3 linked regions of the Oryzias latipes genome follow. The protein of the gene in region 1 purifies or fractionates together with the protein of each later gene. This does not show direct contact. Links are inferred from orthologs where the notes say so. Each region holds a gene or a part of one and is shown on either strand. Other genes may lie near its edges.

The links. Proteins that work in one complex are often made in the same cells at the same time.
Region 2: the proteins of cpsf1 (region 1) and sympk fractionate together in Homo sapiens (co-fractionation; 5 studies listed by BioGRID and IntAct, with this or other methods). This does not show direct contact. The link is inferred for Oryzias latipes from reciprocal best matches to the Homo sapiens genes CPSF1 and SYMPK.
Region 3: the proteins of cpsf1 (region 1) and pre-mRNA 3'-end-processing factor FIP1 fractionate together in Homo sapiens (co-fractionation; 8 studies listed by BioGRID and IntAct, with this or other methods). This does not show direct contact. The link is inferred for Oryzias latipes from reciprocal best matches to the Homo sapiens genes CPSF1 and FIP1L1.

The regions. Positions count from the first base shown.
Region 1 is NC_019869.2:25,053,107-25,057,756, forward strand, and holds part of cpsf1 (cleavage and polyadenylation specificity factor subunit 1), read left to right. Parts: coding exon 1-39; intron 40-149; coding exon 150-281; intron 282-367; coding exon 368-419; intron 420-500; coding exon 501-574; intron 575-1,344; coding exon 1,345-1,419; intron 1,420-1,494; coding exon 1,495-1,575; intron 1,576-1,813; coding exon 1,814-1,900; intron 1,901-1,977; coding exon 1,978-2,157; intron 2,158-2,249; coding exon 2,250-2,391; intron 2,392-2,497; coding exon 2,498-2,676; intron 2,677-2,775; coding exon 2,776-2,915; intron 2,916-3,000; coding exon 3,001-3,181; intron 3,182-3,531; coding exon 3,532-3,738; intron 3,739-3,812; coding exon 3,813-3,902; intron 3,903-3,969; coding exon 3,970-4,116; intron 4,117-4,183; coding exon 4,184-4,336; intron 4,337-4,650. UniProt on the Homo sapiens protein: Component of the cleavage and polyadenylation specificity factor (CPSF) complex that plays a key role in pre-mRNA 3'-end formation, recognizing the AAUAAA signal sequence and interacting with poly(A) polymerase and other factors to bring about cleavage and poly(A) addition.
Region 2 is NC_019879.2:16,690,626-16,695,779, forward strand, and holds the start of sympk (symplekin), read right to left. Parts: upstream 3,590-5,154; 5' UTR 3,326-3,589; intron 3,119-3,325; 5' UTR 3,081-3,118; coding exon 3,018-3,080; intron 2,558-3,017; coding exon 2,492-2,557; intron 2,381-2,491; coding exon 2,327-2,380; intron 2,229-2,326; coding exon 2,155-2,228; intron 2,059-2,154; coding exon 1,932-2,058; intron 1,835-1,931; coding exon 1,585-1,834; intron 1,476-1,584; coding exon 1,305-1,475; intron 1,218-1,304; coding exon 978-1,217; intron 307-977; coding exon 155-306; intron 76-154; coding exon 1-75. Other genes in the region: slc35f5 (solute carrier family 35 member F5), read left to right, coding at 3,812-3,870, 4,641-4,782. UniProt on the Homo sapiens protein: Scaffold protein that functions as a component of a multimolecular complex involved in histone mRNA 3'-end processing. Specific component of the tight junction (TJ) plaque, but might not be an exclusively junctional component. May have a house-keeping rule.
Region 3 is NC_019859.2:11,139,208-11,144,593, reverse strand, and holds the start of pre-mRNA 3'-end-processing factor FIP1, read left to right. Parts: upstream 1-1,797; 5' UTR 1,798-2,000; coding exon 2,001-2,079; intron 2,080-2,448; coding exon 2,449-2,506; intron 2,507-2,962; coding exon 2,963-3,032; intron 3,033-3,127; coding exon 3,128-3,240; intron 3,241-3,951; coding exon 3,952-4,013; intron 4,014-4,121; coding exon 4,122-4,232; intron 4,233-4,537; coding exon 4,538-4,668; intron 4,669-5,386.

The DNA.
Region 1 (4,650 bases):
CACTTTGACAAAGCTGCAGCCAGCGTCCTGACGACCTGCGTGAGTTCTGCCAACGCTCAGGAGACCAGAGCTGCTCCTTTTTGCTGCTCTTCGGGCTGCACCTGTGCAGCAGGAGCAGTCTTCCATTTCACTTTGTCTGTCTTGGTCAGATGGTGACGATGGAGCCCGGCTACCTGTTCCTGGGTTCCCGTCTGGGAAACTCGCTGCTCCTGAAATACACGGAGAAGCTGCAGGAGGCGCCCGCAGAGGACGGAAATGACAAGCAGGAAAAAGAGAAGCAGGCACGTCTGTGACACAAATACTTTTCTTTTAATTGTGTGGCAGAAATAGAAATGATAAATTCCTTAAGACCATGTCTACCTTTCAGGAGGAACCCCCCAACAAGAAAAAGCGAGTGGAGTCTTCCAGCAACTGGACTGGTGCGTTCGCTGTCGCCTGGTAAAGTTTCTCCGTGTCTGGCTCTGCAGGCTGCTCTGCTTCATACTTCTTTGTCTTGTCAGATGAGGTGGATGAGATCGAGGTTTATGGAAGTGAAGCCCAGTCAGGCACTCAGCTGGCCACCTTCTCCTTTGAGGTAAAAAAGTTGGCTTCTATCTCCTCTGTGCAGAGGATCTGCAGAGTTCTGCTCTGCCTACATTTTGAAGAAGCTCCTGTGCCTGCAGTTCCTTTAAGCTGACCTGTGTGTTCACTAACACACAGGTTCTTCAATGCAGTAAACTATATTTGTCACCAAAAATACTTTTTGAGTTCCAACCATTTGTATCAAATTTCTGACACCCATGATCCAAAGTTTCCTTAAAAACTAGTGATGTTGCTAAAGCTGTGACGGTGTGGGATTTTTGATCACTGCGGTGATGAACCAGCAGAGAGGCGGTGTCTCGGTCTCTGGTGGTAGGTTGGCGCCAGTGTTCGGCAGCGGAGCCGCCACCAGTGTGTGACTGTGTGTGTGACTGTAAACAGCTTTGGGCCTTGTAGGTAGAAAAGTGCTTTATAAGTACACGCCATTTAGCATCCAGGTCATCTTAATCCAAAACTTCAACCAGTGAGACTCAGAGAGAAATACCTGGACAGTGCAGGGGAAGTTTTCCAGATTCCTTGGATTTCTTCTAGATAGTCAACGGTAAAGTTTTTTGCCAGGCCCCCCCTAGGGAAAAGAAAATGTAGAATAATAAACTTATCAAAATCCAAATAGTATTTTCTGATATCGATGTGTAAACTCATAAAGCAGCACCTGGACAGTGAGCTGACTGAAATATCAAGCCAATGGATGAAGCTCAGCCTCCTTCGTTCAGTAGAGGATTTCTTGTGTGAAGTGTGTGTTTTTTTTTTTGTGTTTCCCTACAGGTTTGCGACAGCATACTCAACATTGGACCTTGTGCGAATGCTTCCATGGGTGAACCTGCTTTTCTCTCTGAAGAGGTAGACACTTTTGGAACCCATGCAGACGACTCTCTGTTTCTACATTCATCCACCTAAATGTCACTTTTCCCACAGTTTCAGAGCAACCCTGAACCCGACTTGGAGATCGTTGTTTGCTCTGGCTACGGCAAAAACGGTGCTCTGTCCGTCTTGCAGGTATCTCTGTCTGCTCTGAGTTTGTTTACACACCTGATCGGTGTCCCGCACAGTCCTGAAACCTGTGGTGGCGAGGGCCGTCTGCCACAGGTCCTGAGACGGTGCTACAGCACGGTCTGGGTTTACCACGGCTGCCTCAGAGATCCACGGAGCAGCCAGTAAACACCCCAGGCACATGTTCACGCCCCCTGTCTCTTTCAGGAGATTTCTTGTTATCCTTTTGCTTTTTTCTTCTCAGAGAAGCATCCGACCTCAAGTAGTCACTACGTTTGAGCTGCCAGGTTGCCACGACATGTGGACGGTAATCTCAGGGGAAGACAAGAAGGTACGCTCAACAGAAATACGCTTCCTGCTGCGCGGCTGTCGCTTTGGTTTCTTAGTCTGTAACTTTATGATTTCCAGAGCGGCAAAAATGAGGAGTCGGAGGATGGAGGGAAGGTGGAGACAGAAGAGGAGAGTGAAGGAGGAGAAAAGGAAGCGGACGCAGAGAAGAAAGAAGAGCAGGATAAGACAGAGCCTCCTCTGGAAGACGATGCAAAGAAGCACGGCTTCCTCATCCTGAGCAGAGAAGATTCAACCATGGTAACAGAAGAAACATTCAGTCAACATTCAGATTCTGGAACCAGGAAAGGAGAAAAAAGGTTTAATGAAAGGAAAACCTCTTTCTCTTTAAGATCCTGCAGACGGGTCAGGAGATCATGGAGCTGGACACCAGTGGCTTTGCCACTCAGGGACCCACTGTGTTTGCTGGAAACATTGGAGATAACCAATACATCATCCAGGTCTCCCCCATGGGACTTCGGCTTCTTGAAGGAGGTGAAATGAGGCTGCATCCATTTAGTGTTGAAGACAAATACATCCCAGAATATGAGCCTGAAGAGTGTTTGATGGAAGCCCCTCTAACTCTCATTTCACCTTTCAGTGAAGCAGCTTCACTTCATCCCAGTGGATCTGGGATCTCCCATAGTTCATTGCTCTGTGGCGGACCCGTACGTCGTTATTATGACCGCAGAGGGCGTGGTCACTATGTTTGTGCTGAAGAGTGACACTTACATGGGGAAAACACACCGACTGGCTCTGCAGAAACCTCAAATTTCCACGGTGAGTGGAATGTCCTTTAGGTTCTGTGGTTGCCCCCCCTGCTGGCCAATAAAAGCTGTTGCACTTCTTGCAAGCGTTTGAAACCCTCTCGCCCCACAGCTATCTCGAGTGATCGCTCTGTGTGCGTATCGAGACGTCAGTGGGATGTTCACCACAGAAAACAAATCCAGCTGCTCCTCCAAAGAGGACCTCATCCTCAGGAGCAACTCTGAGACAGAGACAGTCTACCAGGACCTCAGGTAGGAGGCACATGCTCTCCAGAACCTCCCACTGCTCCTCCTACTTATGGGCAGCAGTCTGATGACCTCTCCTGTTTTTGTGCAGCAACACAGTGGATGATGAAGAGGAGATGCTGTACGGCGAGTCCGGCGCCAGCATGGCAGCCGGGAAAGAGGAAATGAGCCGCGGCTCTGCAGCAACAGCGCCCCCTGGGGGTGAGGGTAGCGCGGGCAAAGCCGAGCCTAGCCACTGGTGTGTGCTGATCCGGGAGAACGGCGTAATGGAGGTATGTCTGCCTGGACCCTCCGTTCAGGTGCTCTGATGGCAGGAAATGTGAGGTCGAAGTGAGCCCTTAAACTCTGTCCTTTCTTACCTGTCAATCAAAAGGCCACACCTACATCTGTGTGCAACTTCGAGTTGTTACGGAAAAGCATGAGGCTCATAATAGTTGTCTTTTTCAGTGACTATAACAGACTGTAACTGTAACTCATTAGTTTTTATTTCACAGGTGTTTCAAACAGGAAGTGAAAGTGTTTTGTCATCCTTCTGCAGCATTTGTCAGCGCTCTTAGATTAAGCTACTGGGAAACTTGTTTAAGTCTGTTGTGCTTCATTTCATTGACTCTTTGTGGGGCAGATTTACCAGCTGCCTGACTGGCGGCTGGTCTTCCTGGTGAAGAACTTCCCGGTGGGCCAAAGGGTGCTGGTGGACAGCTCTTCTGGACAGTCAGCGACACAGGGAGACGGGAAGAAGGAGGAAGTCACTCGACAGGGAGAGATCCCGTTGGTCAAAGAGGTGGCTTTGGTTGCTCTCGGCAACAATCGCAGCCGCCCGTATCTGCTGGTGAGTTTTTCCCCTGGGCTGATCTCCATCTCTGTGTTGGATCTGTGGAAGACCGAAGGCCCTTGCTGTCTCAGGTCCACGTGGAGAACGAACTTCTGGTCTACGAAGCGTTCCCGTACGACCAGCAGCAGCCGCAGAACAACCTGAAAGTCCGCTTCAAAAAGGTGAGTCTGGAGCGGAGTAGCGGCTGCTTCCAGCGAAGCGTCTGATGGCGTTTCTCCTCCGGCTCAGGTGCCCCACAGCATTAACTTCAGAGAGAAGAAACCCAAGCTGAAGAAAGACAAGAAGGCGGAGGGCGGAGGTCCTGAGGAAAATGTGGCTGTGAAGAGCCGAATTTCCAGGTTCCGGTACTTTGAGGACATTTCTGGATACTCTGGGGTACAAACTAAAGTCCATTTGGAATTTACCCAGAAGGGTTAGCTCCTGATACATGTTGTTTCCTCAGGTGTTCATCTGTGGCCCATCCCCCCACTGGATGTTGATCACCTCTCGAGGAGGGCTGAGGCTTCACCCCATGACCATCGACGGACCCATCGAGTCCTTCTCCCCCTTTCACAACATCAACTGCCCCAAAGGCTTCCTCTACTTCAACAAACAGGTATGTGCTTCAACGGGACGCCTCCAAACATTCTCTCTGGGTCTCCAGCGTCCAGCTGTCGGATGGGTGCAACGGCTCCTTCACAGGGCCTCATTGCTTAGGCGGAACACCGAAGCTCCAGCTGCGTGGCTCCTCACTCGCATCCGTCTGTGGCATCATGGAGCTGCTTCAGTTCCTCTGCAGCCTGACGGAACCTCCAACACCAGAACATTCTGTGCTGGTTCACTGTTAGGATTTGTGAAGATTTGACTTCAATTCTAACAGATTGAAACCACAGTTCATCTTTCACAACATTTTGTCTTTATTTTATTTTT
Region 2 (5,154 bases), on another chromosome or scaffold:
AGATTCAACAGGTGTGTATGTGGCCTGGAAAGATGCTGGCATCACATCAGGCAGATACACCATGCTGATGAGCACCTAAACCGAGGTAATGAAGAGTTTTAGGACACAAACCCTCAGAAAAAAAGACAGCCTGAGAATGATCTCAGACACTTACGAGGTTGGCGACATTTTCAGGAGTTAGCAGCGGGTGAAGGAACTCGGCCGTAAGGTCAAGGGCAGACTGCACGGCTGGAACGGCCGCTGGCTTGGGGGCTGCGAGGGGGGCTGGCTCCTCCTTGTCTTCATCATCTTCCATAAGAGCTGGTTCTAAACAGTAGAACACGCACCATAAATCAATAAAGAAACCATGTGTCTTTGCAAAAGCAATTTTAAAAAACCATAATAAATAAAGAAACCATGTGTCTTTGCAAAAGCAATTTTTATAGGCCTCCGATGCCCAAATATGGTTAGACATGAGTTATGCTAATTTCATTCAGAATATTCCCAAAAACAACATTATTGGAATAAAAAAAGAAGAAGAAAAGAAAACCTGTAATGAAACGGGATCGGAGTACCCAAAATATGTTTTAAATTCAAAAAATGTCTGTAATTGTTGTCACAAATTAAAACAAATCCATAGTGAATTTATAATCCACACTGATAGCACAAAATGAAACATTAAAATATAAACCGTGGGGGAATTAAGAAAAGAGCAAGAATAACCTAAAATTTTGAATCTAAAATTCTATTTCTATTAGTCAATCTAAAACTACAGAGTCACCACACAGTAATCTAAAGAATCTCTGGGTGTGATGCTGCTGCAATAGAGACTAACCTGTGCAGAAAGAAAAACTAAGTAAAGCAAAGTTACAGCCTCTGCAAGTGATGGCAAGAAAACAAACACTCGTAATCTTTCAACAAGTCCTTTAAAGACTGTTTTTTTTTTATAAAAATGTTATTTTCTAAGGCAGTCTGCATTTTTGTGGTGAACTACTCACCAATCTTGACCTTCTTTCCCTCTGTGTATTGCTCATAGCGAGGCCTCTTGCGAGGCTCTCGTGGTACAGGAGTGTTTCGAGTTATCTCAGTCTGAGGCATTCCCAGATCCAGCAGCAAAGTGCTGATCTGACCCTGGAACTCCACACTGCACGGATGTTTGAGAACTGCCACCAAGTGCAGCTTTAAGTTTTTTCGAACACTGCTAACCTGAGATTTGGCCAGAGTGGGGGGAAGGTTAGCTAGAAAAAAAGATAAATATTAATGATTGCACCTTAATAATAATGTTAAGGGGATAATATATATTTTTTTGACTAAGAAGCACTCACCGTGGAGGGTCTCATATGCTTGCACCACCTCTGACATGAACATTGGTCTTTGACGGGCAATCGTTGCCAAAGAACCCAATGCAGTGGTGAGGTTAATGCTGGATATAGCTGGGTGGACCATGAATTTTAAGAGCTTTTCCAGTGCACTCTTTCCTTCTTCACACAAAGTACCTGTTGATTCAACAGAATGTAATAAATCTATCCTGCAGTAAGAAAGATTTTAACATGCCTGTTTAAAAAAAAAAAAAAGAAAAAAAAAAGAGAGTTCTAAAATCTTTACCGTAGTGAATGTACGAATGGTCTTTGGGAACTTTGTCAAGGCTAATGTCAGCATCCTGGCGTTTGGGTACATCAGAGTCAGGTGTCCGCGGCGAGAGAGTGATGATTAAAGATTCTGTGAATTTGATGCTGTGTGTGCGAACACCATCATTGTCGGAGTCCAGCAAGGCCAACACTTCCCCTTTCATTTGAGTGATCAAGTCCCAGCATGCCTCCTGCATTTCTGACAGTGTTTTTGAGCTGACCAACCACTGGCAGAAAAGAAACAACAGAAGATGTGGGAACATAAAAACACCGTATTCCTATTATTTTAGCAGGAAATTATGCGAGTGACTTTAAGGTGCATACCTGTAATGTTACTTTATAGAGCTGAGTGAGTGTCAGAATGGCTTTCTTCACCACATTTACACTTTCATCCTTCAGCAGCATGTTTAGATTGGCGATAAGTCTAACAAGGAGCTCATTGTCCCTTTTACTAGTTGGGAAATAGATATAAAAAAAAAAGAGTTTCAATAAATATACATACATTTAAAAGTGTATAAGATGTAAAATGTTGACACAAACAACTAACCATGCTTCCTCTATAAATCCAATGACAAACTTTTTCACTTCTATTGATTTGTCGGTCTGAAACGCTATTATTTCCTGTAAAATAGAATTGGCAAGATACAAGAACATGACTGGGCCGATTTTAACTTACACGCTTACCATTCCTTTGCCATGAAAGGCAGGTGCTTACTTACATCCAAAAAGTTGTCAAGAAGGGACGGATCCTTGTTGATGATGAGCTCTTGAACCTAAAGGAAATTCAAACGCGTGACTTCAAATTCTTACAACCACCTCATCAGCACCTCAGTCGGTGCTGCTGTGTAGCAGTCATCTAAACTGCACAGATTTACACTACCAACCTGTTTGAGAGCAGTCAGCTTTTCATCAGTGGGTATGAGAGAAGCTTGATTCAGAAGCTCCACCACCTGAGAAAAGAAAGAACCAGAGTAAGTCTCTACAACGCTACAATAAGAGGCTAACCAGCCAAAAAATATTAGCATAATTTCTACTATATAGCATGTTTGAGCCAAATGAGGTGTTCTTAGCTATTAACCCCAGACAACTGCAAATGTAGACTACAGCCCCATTTAGATTAAACTGCAGCAATTGTAAATATTTCTTATATATTGCAATTTATCAGAACAAAATCGATGGCAGATTAAAAAATAAAGAATGTTTAGATAGCAAGATCAAGATTTAACTTGCATCACACAAAAAGCATTTAATGATTTGTTGTGTTTCTAGATGTATATTTTAAGACTTAAAATGCTTTATATGAACAATTTCAGATTAAAATATTTCTGTTTTAAAGTCTGCTACCTCCAGATTGTGTTGTTGTCCCTGAGATTGTAAACAAATCTTTCATCTTGTGCTAATTGTACAGACCTTTTCACTGGTGGTCATATCGACCCCTTTCGGAGTGTCCTCCGCCTTAGAAGAAATGTCCATGTTGCTGATGTTCCAGTCAGTAATAATCTTGCATGATCCTGAAAGGAAAACAGAAATAATAATAATAATTTAGAGCATACATAACAATACGAGAATTACGCATAACATCTATATTTTAATTCAAATTACTGAACGTTTTAAGTCAGACTACAAACATTCGTATGTATTACAGAAACACATATTCAATTGATAATACTTAAATAAACAAATTTCAATACGCAAGTCAGTATTTTTTTCTAACTTACCTACACGATTACCAGAATGATGAGAATGAATCCAGTTAGTTAGCTCGTAACATTAGGTTAGCCAAAACGATAAAATAATAATCTACTTTACTAAGCCAACTGCGTTATAGATACACTAACTCTTGTATTAAACGGGTAATTACAAATATGATCTATTAGACAACAAGATTTGCCTTGTTTTAGTACTTATTAAATATATGAATTAACTTTGCTAGCAAGCAAACAAAGCTACCGCCATATTTCATCGAAGAAGCTATGGTACGGTTCTTCTTCGGCTGTTTTCGGATACTCAAATAAAAGCAGCGCCTCCTGCTGGATTTGTGTGCCTCTAAGCTATTTTTGTTTATTTATTTTTTAACTATTAATAAGAACACTAGTATTGTTTACATCACATGGGAAACAAAATATGTGCCATAGACACATTTCAAATGTTTTTAATCGATCACCATTTAACTACAAGTCCCATGAGGCTTAGCGGGATAAGTGATGTCACCTGATGCTAATAACAAGACAAGGAAGTGCTTATGTTTACAACCGCTGGAGTGGTAAAATATTCTCGTTTAAAACGTGTTGTTTTTTAGAAACAGTAATGTAAAAGATCAATCGGACATCAACTAATGAAGAAAAGTGAATGAATACGCCTCGCATTCGGGTGAACACGCCGCTGTTATTGCTTTTGTTACTTTGTTTGTAGGACATTTTACTAGCTCTTAGTTAGCTTGGAAAACAGGCAGCTAAAACGTACCACTGCGAAGCTTGTTTTGGATACAGCTAGTAAAAACTGTGCTTATTTTGTTTTTAATATACAGAACGTCGTATCGTAATAAATCAGTTAATTTTACATCTTTAAATTGCAGACGGTTTCGTGCTCATAGTTTTGATTCTCATTGGGACCACTTATGTTTTACATTCATTGCCACATGAACATGCAACAGAATTTTTGTTTAAAGAGGCGGAGGTCTAGTAGAAAACACGCACATCATCACTTGTAACACGCGTTTATGAGTATTGTTGTTAGTGATGCTTTACAAGCGTATTTCCTGCAACGTGTTAGTTAAGTTAACCACGGTCTTCATTGGAAAAACCTGTAGGAAAGGCCTTTGACTGGTTTCCCAGTCTTAAGGAACTTTTTTTCATTTTTACCTTGTCTTAAAAGTCTATATGAATCTGTCATGGTATATTCTTATAAATTGTACCTTTAGAGCAATGTACAGTGGCATTGTTGCCTTGTCCCTCCAGCAAAGCATACAGTAGAATAAAAAGAGGGAAAAAATATCATATTCGTTTTCCCCTCTATGTCATGTGTCTGTTATAGGGTCTCAATGGAGTGGGTTTTCATCATGAACCGGATGAGCTCTCAGGGAAGCTCTACAGCCCAGCGGAGGAGGATGGCCTTAGGGGTGGTGATACTCCTTCTGGTGGATGTCATCTGGGTGGCTTCCTCCGAGCTAACCTCAGTAAGGACAGTCTGTCAGCTGTCTGTGGGTTGTCATTTAGTGTGTAACAAAACTCTACTGAGACAAACACACAAGAACGTCCTCACAGTATCTTAACAAAGTCTTACAGGAATTAGAGTAGTTTAAGTTCGAATCAGTCAAAGTTTGGCAAATCCAAACTGACTAAGCCAGTTCCTCGAGTTGACTCAAATTCTATTTGTAAAAAATGTATTTCCAAAACATCTGTATGTGCATTTCTTCTGGCTTTTTACAGCATAGCTTCAGTAAACATTAAAGATTTGACATTGATGAAACAGACAAAAAAAAATATATATGGAAGAATTTGGGTAAGGTAGCACTGAAAAAAGGATTTATTTTCTACATTTAATCTGG
Region 3 (5,386 bases), on another chromosome or scaffold:
AGTGTGTCTTTAAGTCTTACTGTTGTCCCTGGACATTTTTTGTGGATCTTCTGCAGGGCCTTTACATGTTTGCTGTTTTCATGTGTGCAAGGCTGTGATGAAGCTGCTACACATCGTGAGGAGGTCACATCAATGGACTCCCTCCTACACTCCCGTCAACCAGGATGCTCCTGCCAAACAACTCCGGGGCTCGCTGAAACCTACGCAAATGCTCCTGCACATAATTAACACACAGAAAACACAACAGTGTCACAGTGACTAACAGAAAGAAAGTCACAAGACAGCCAGGAACCAAACCAACTGCTTTCACACTGCAACAAGACAATGGTTGTGATGATGCTGTACATCAAATGAGCAAAATGGATAAAAGATGGAATTTGAAAACATAAATATAAGAAATAAAGATGAAAGGTAATGAAAATCAACAGCAAAAATAGAAACCAATGAGAGAAACTGGAGAAGAGGGAGAGAGTGAGTAAAATAAATGCAATTTCTATTATCAGTTTAACGGACAGAGCATTAGGATCCCTGTCTAACGCTCTCTGGAGTGTAGGTGCATGTGTGTGCCCTTAACTGTGTTTAGAGAGCCACACGTAATTCTCACATATGATGTGATACAGCAGATGCTGGTGATATCAAGCCCTGGCTCAGATAGAGTGAGGAAAATCAATACAGCTACAACTATGATGTTACCACCTTTCTCCCCCCCTACCCTCACACTGAAAAAGTGAGGACCACAAATTGTCTCCTAGTGATTTTTTATTGCAGGCCAATCAGTGCATATGTCCATGTTGTGCATGACTGTTGATGTGAGCGCTGCATTGAGTAAGTGATAGCAGAAAAAGGGGAGAGGAGAGTGAAAGAATCCAAACATTTACATTAATTTGCTGAAAACCTAAAGAAGCCCTACTCAACTGGCCATAAATGCATTAACAGTCCTTTTTACATTAGCAAACACAGTGGGAATCTTGAATGCTTCTTGATGCCATAAAGTGGTTGAAGTTGCAAGGAAGTGGGGAAAAATAATAAATATATTATGGCTATTTATAAATTATAAATAAAATAAGAACTTTTTAAAACAAACATGTATTTAATCAGAAACTTGGTTCAAGAACAAAACTTTGCATCTGTGTTCATAATAGCATTTAATGCAAGAGTTGTTTTTTTGTCCCCGAATCTAGAATCACTTAGTTTCCCCAAACTTTGCAAGGTAGAACTCATTGATGTCATGAGTAAAAGTTGCTCTCATAAGACAACACTTTTAAACTATTTTTTTATTTTGTTTGTCACCCATCCATGATACAAAGTTATAGTAATATTATTACATGTAGTTTGTATGATCAATCTTCCAACTCAGCTCAATCCATTTCAGGGTTGCAGGGTTGCTGGAGCCTATCCTGCTAACTATGCGGCGAAGGTGGGGTCATGTCAGTCATGGGCATGTAGTAGATATAACTTAGTTTTTGATTTTAAATAAAGTAAGTTTAGTCAGTACAAAAACAAAAAGTTGAATCCCAATTCTGTCCTGTTGGCCTTATTAATGACCCAAATAGCTGCCATCAGTGCAAGAAAGTGCTTTTCCCCTCATCAAGTGCTATATAATTGCATACTATTTACTATTTTGAAAGTAAAATTGCTAGAGTTTTTTCAGTTTCAAGCTCTGAAAAGTGTGTGGGGTAAAAACTAGGGCAACCGACAACATTAAAGGTTTTCTCTCCATTGGGACACATGGCGCTAAATCATCCACTCCAGTAGGGGGCGCTCTGCTTCAGTTGTACACCGTTGCTGAGCTTCTGCAGGACATTCTCCGGAGTCTCTTCCGGGTTCACGACTCGTAGACGTCTAAATGGATCTGAAAGAACCCAATTCATGCGTATATTAATAAAAAAATAGCGTCCTCCGAAAAGTAGGACTTTGTAATAATTCTCAGTGGTACTCTTTTGTTGGTGGTTTTTCGTAGGGTCTCGCTTATACTTTCAGCTTTTCTGAGCTGGGCGAACATGTCTGCGGAGGAGGCGGACAAAACGACCACCACCGATGCTAGCGCCGGGGACGAGGAGGAGGAATGGTTGTATGGAGGTAAATCAATTAACTACAAGGAAATGCAAGTGTCGCCTAAAATGACCGACATAAAAAACAACAAAGTAATTGTAGTTGGTTTAACTTCAAATTAGACTGGAAGGTAAAGCAGTTTAAAAAGTGCGCTGTCTGTCTGTGCTAGCTGGGTAGCTAGTTAGCAATCTGCGCTTTGGCCTTAAGCAGAAAGATGACTTAAAAGCAAGTTATAAATATATATTTTTTTATTATAATTATTATGAGCTTTACATTCTTTATCACTCTGCCATGCGTGTTTTTTCTAGGGCTTTTGCGTACACAGTCAATGATATCAAGTCATATTAGTTTACATGTGTTGTTATCCGCCCGGTGATAATTAATGTTTCTTTTCAGATGAGTCCGAGACCAAAGAGGAGGATGAAGAAGGAGCAAAGTTAAACACGGATGTCGGGTAAAACACAAACACCATTGAATATCATTTACAAAAAGAAAAAGAGAACCATTTTGATAATTTAGGGGAATTTTCCCAAAACAATGACTGTTTTACATGTTTACATGTACATGATGTAGCCGTTTAGCAGAAGCTTTGCGTGGTCTTTTTTTATGTGATAAATGCTTGTAAAATGTGGGTGTATGAATTGAATTTCTTTAACTTATGTCAGGTAGGTGAACCCTTAAGTTTGATTAAATTCTAAATACATTACATCAAAACTCAAGACTTTTTAGCTCTAAAACTTTGATCGGTTATTTCATTTTCCAGTTAAACATCTGACATAAAATTATATCATTAGTAAATCTCTTAAAATAAACCATCATTGTGGAAATTAGGACAAATAAAACCAAGACCTTTTGTTGTTGTTATAGAAAGCTTTACAGCATGTCTAACAGTTTATTAATAAACCTGCAGTGCACCAGCTGATGCTCAAGCAGAAGATGCTGCTCCTGAACATGCAACAGGAAACGGAGTTGCGTCTGAGGTAGCCTGTTTTTATTTGTTTCTCTCCACCTGTCTTTTTTTCCTGCATCTTTACTAAATTGGAGGCTTTTTTTTCTCTTTTTCCCGACATTTCAGGCCACTGGTGAAACTGCTGGTGAGGATGTAGAAAGTGACAGCGACAGCGATGATGACGACGATGACGTCCGCGTTACCATCGGTGACATTAAGACCGGAGCACCACAATACACGTAGGTTTGAGTCCAGTGGAAATATTTACAGTTTCTCGTAGTAAATGTTTTTGTATGAAGCTGTTTTCTTGTTTTTAATTAATGGCAAGAAGAAATGTTTTGTTGTTTTTCGTTTTTTCTTATCCTTTTAAGTTCTAACCTTTTTTTTGGCTTCAGATGGCTTTATTGTGGAAAAGACACCGGTGTCAGAAGGTGTTACTTTTGATTTTGGACTTTCAGCAAAACACAGGCAGAACAGAGATGTAAAAAAAAATAAAAAAATCTCCGGTTTCCTTCCTGCATCTGCTGGGTTTCTTGTTTCCTGTCAGGCTATGTTGTTGTTTGGGGACATAGAGATGTCTTCTGAGTTGACGTGTTGGAAGTATTTAGTGACCCTAACTTTAGCTGTTAATGTTGCATAAAAATGTGAAGGCTTGAATTTTTGAAACAATTTCTGTATTCAATTTTATTCCATAAAATTTGATGTGGTTTTCTTTTTTGAATTAGTTTTAATGGACCTGAGTGTTTTTTTTTTATACAGGTTGTAAAAGTCAAATGATCTTTGGTTGCAAACCCAGCAATAATCTGTTGAATTTTAGCGATGGATTTGTGATTATTTATTTTACAGTAACTGAATAATCGTGGTAAATGTATTCATGCCAAAAAAAACCTGGCCTGCATTATTTTTTGTATTTTATTAGATAATTAATAAGTATTCTATTTTTGTTGCAGGACTTACGGCACTCCACCTGTTAACCTCAACATAAAGTCAGGCTCCAGACCTTATGGACAGGGTGCGTCTCCAAGCTGTTGCAACAATTATTTTCAGTTGTGTTTGAACAATATTCCTCTTCTTTCTTACTTTGTAAGCATTCAGCAGCATTTATTTTGGTTATTCTCAGTGTCTTCAAAGCTGAAAGGGGTGGATCTTGATGCACCAGGAAACATCAATGGCGTCCCGGTGCTGGAGGTGGACGTGGAGTCCTTTGAAGAGAAGCCCTGGAGGAAGCCAGGTTTGTAAAAGTCAAGTAAAATGGTTTTAGCTATACTTTTTAGGGTTATTACTGTCTTTACAAATTAAAAAAAGATGGATAAATGTGATGCAATAAAAACAATTTCGTCACTATAAAACATCAGCTCTGCCTTTTTTTTAGATGAAAAGCCATTGATAGTCTTTAAATATTGTAAAAAAAACAACATAAGGACTAAAGCATCTTTGGGTATTCATTTTTATTTTTTTAGACTTTCTCTATACTTAACGGTCTTAAAAAGGTAGAAATATCATCTTCAGTCACTGAAAGCGTCTTTCTGTGTGCAGGAGCGGATCTGTCCGACTACTTCAACTACGGCTTCAACGAGGACACCTGGAAGGCATACTGCGAGAAACAGAAGAGGCTGCGAATGGGTCTGGACGTCTCGACAGTCGGATCTGTGACCAGCAAGATCACTGTGAGACACAGCTATGAATTGTATTCCTGTTCTTTAGCCCACACCCTTCAAACTCCGGCCATACATGTAATCAGCAGCAGGTCAGGCGGATTTCTCGAGAAACCGACTGGATGCTTGAGGCCTGGAGTCTGACACCTCTACTTTAGCTCAAAGCCCTGATTAATCCAGACTTTCATATTTATGAAACTGTTCTTCCTGCTGAAAGGTTTATTTTGATTAGATATTTTTAAAAGCATGAGGGTTTCGTATTTTGATCTAACCTGAAGAACAAAAGGTTTCATGTTTATTGCGTTTTCAGTCTGTGCTGTGTGGTTACAGTAGCTAAGATGTTGATTTAAGGCTTTGTGGTGAATGAACATCCATCCATCCTTCCTTGATGGTAGAAATCTCTTTCTGTAGACCTGTCAGGGTTTTCCTCCTGCAACCTGTTAAACTATAAAACCAACGGCTTCTTGCAACACCAGACTATAAAGCATCTTGTCTAACAATGTCAAGAGCCCGAATAAGATTGATCACAATGTGTGTTTGTGTGTAAACTTATAAAGCAATAAATCTAGCTGAAAGCTGCGCCGGATGCCCTGCCTGTACAACGTCCTTTACAGAACAGATAAGAAAGTGGATGCAATGTGTGTGCTCTCCACAGGAAATTTGTTTTAGCATTTAGTGTGTTAATCAATGGCAAAAAGAAGAAGCAAAAACTAGTTAAATGTAGACAAAA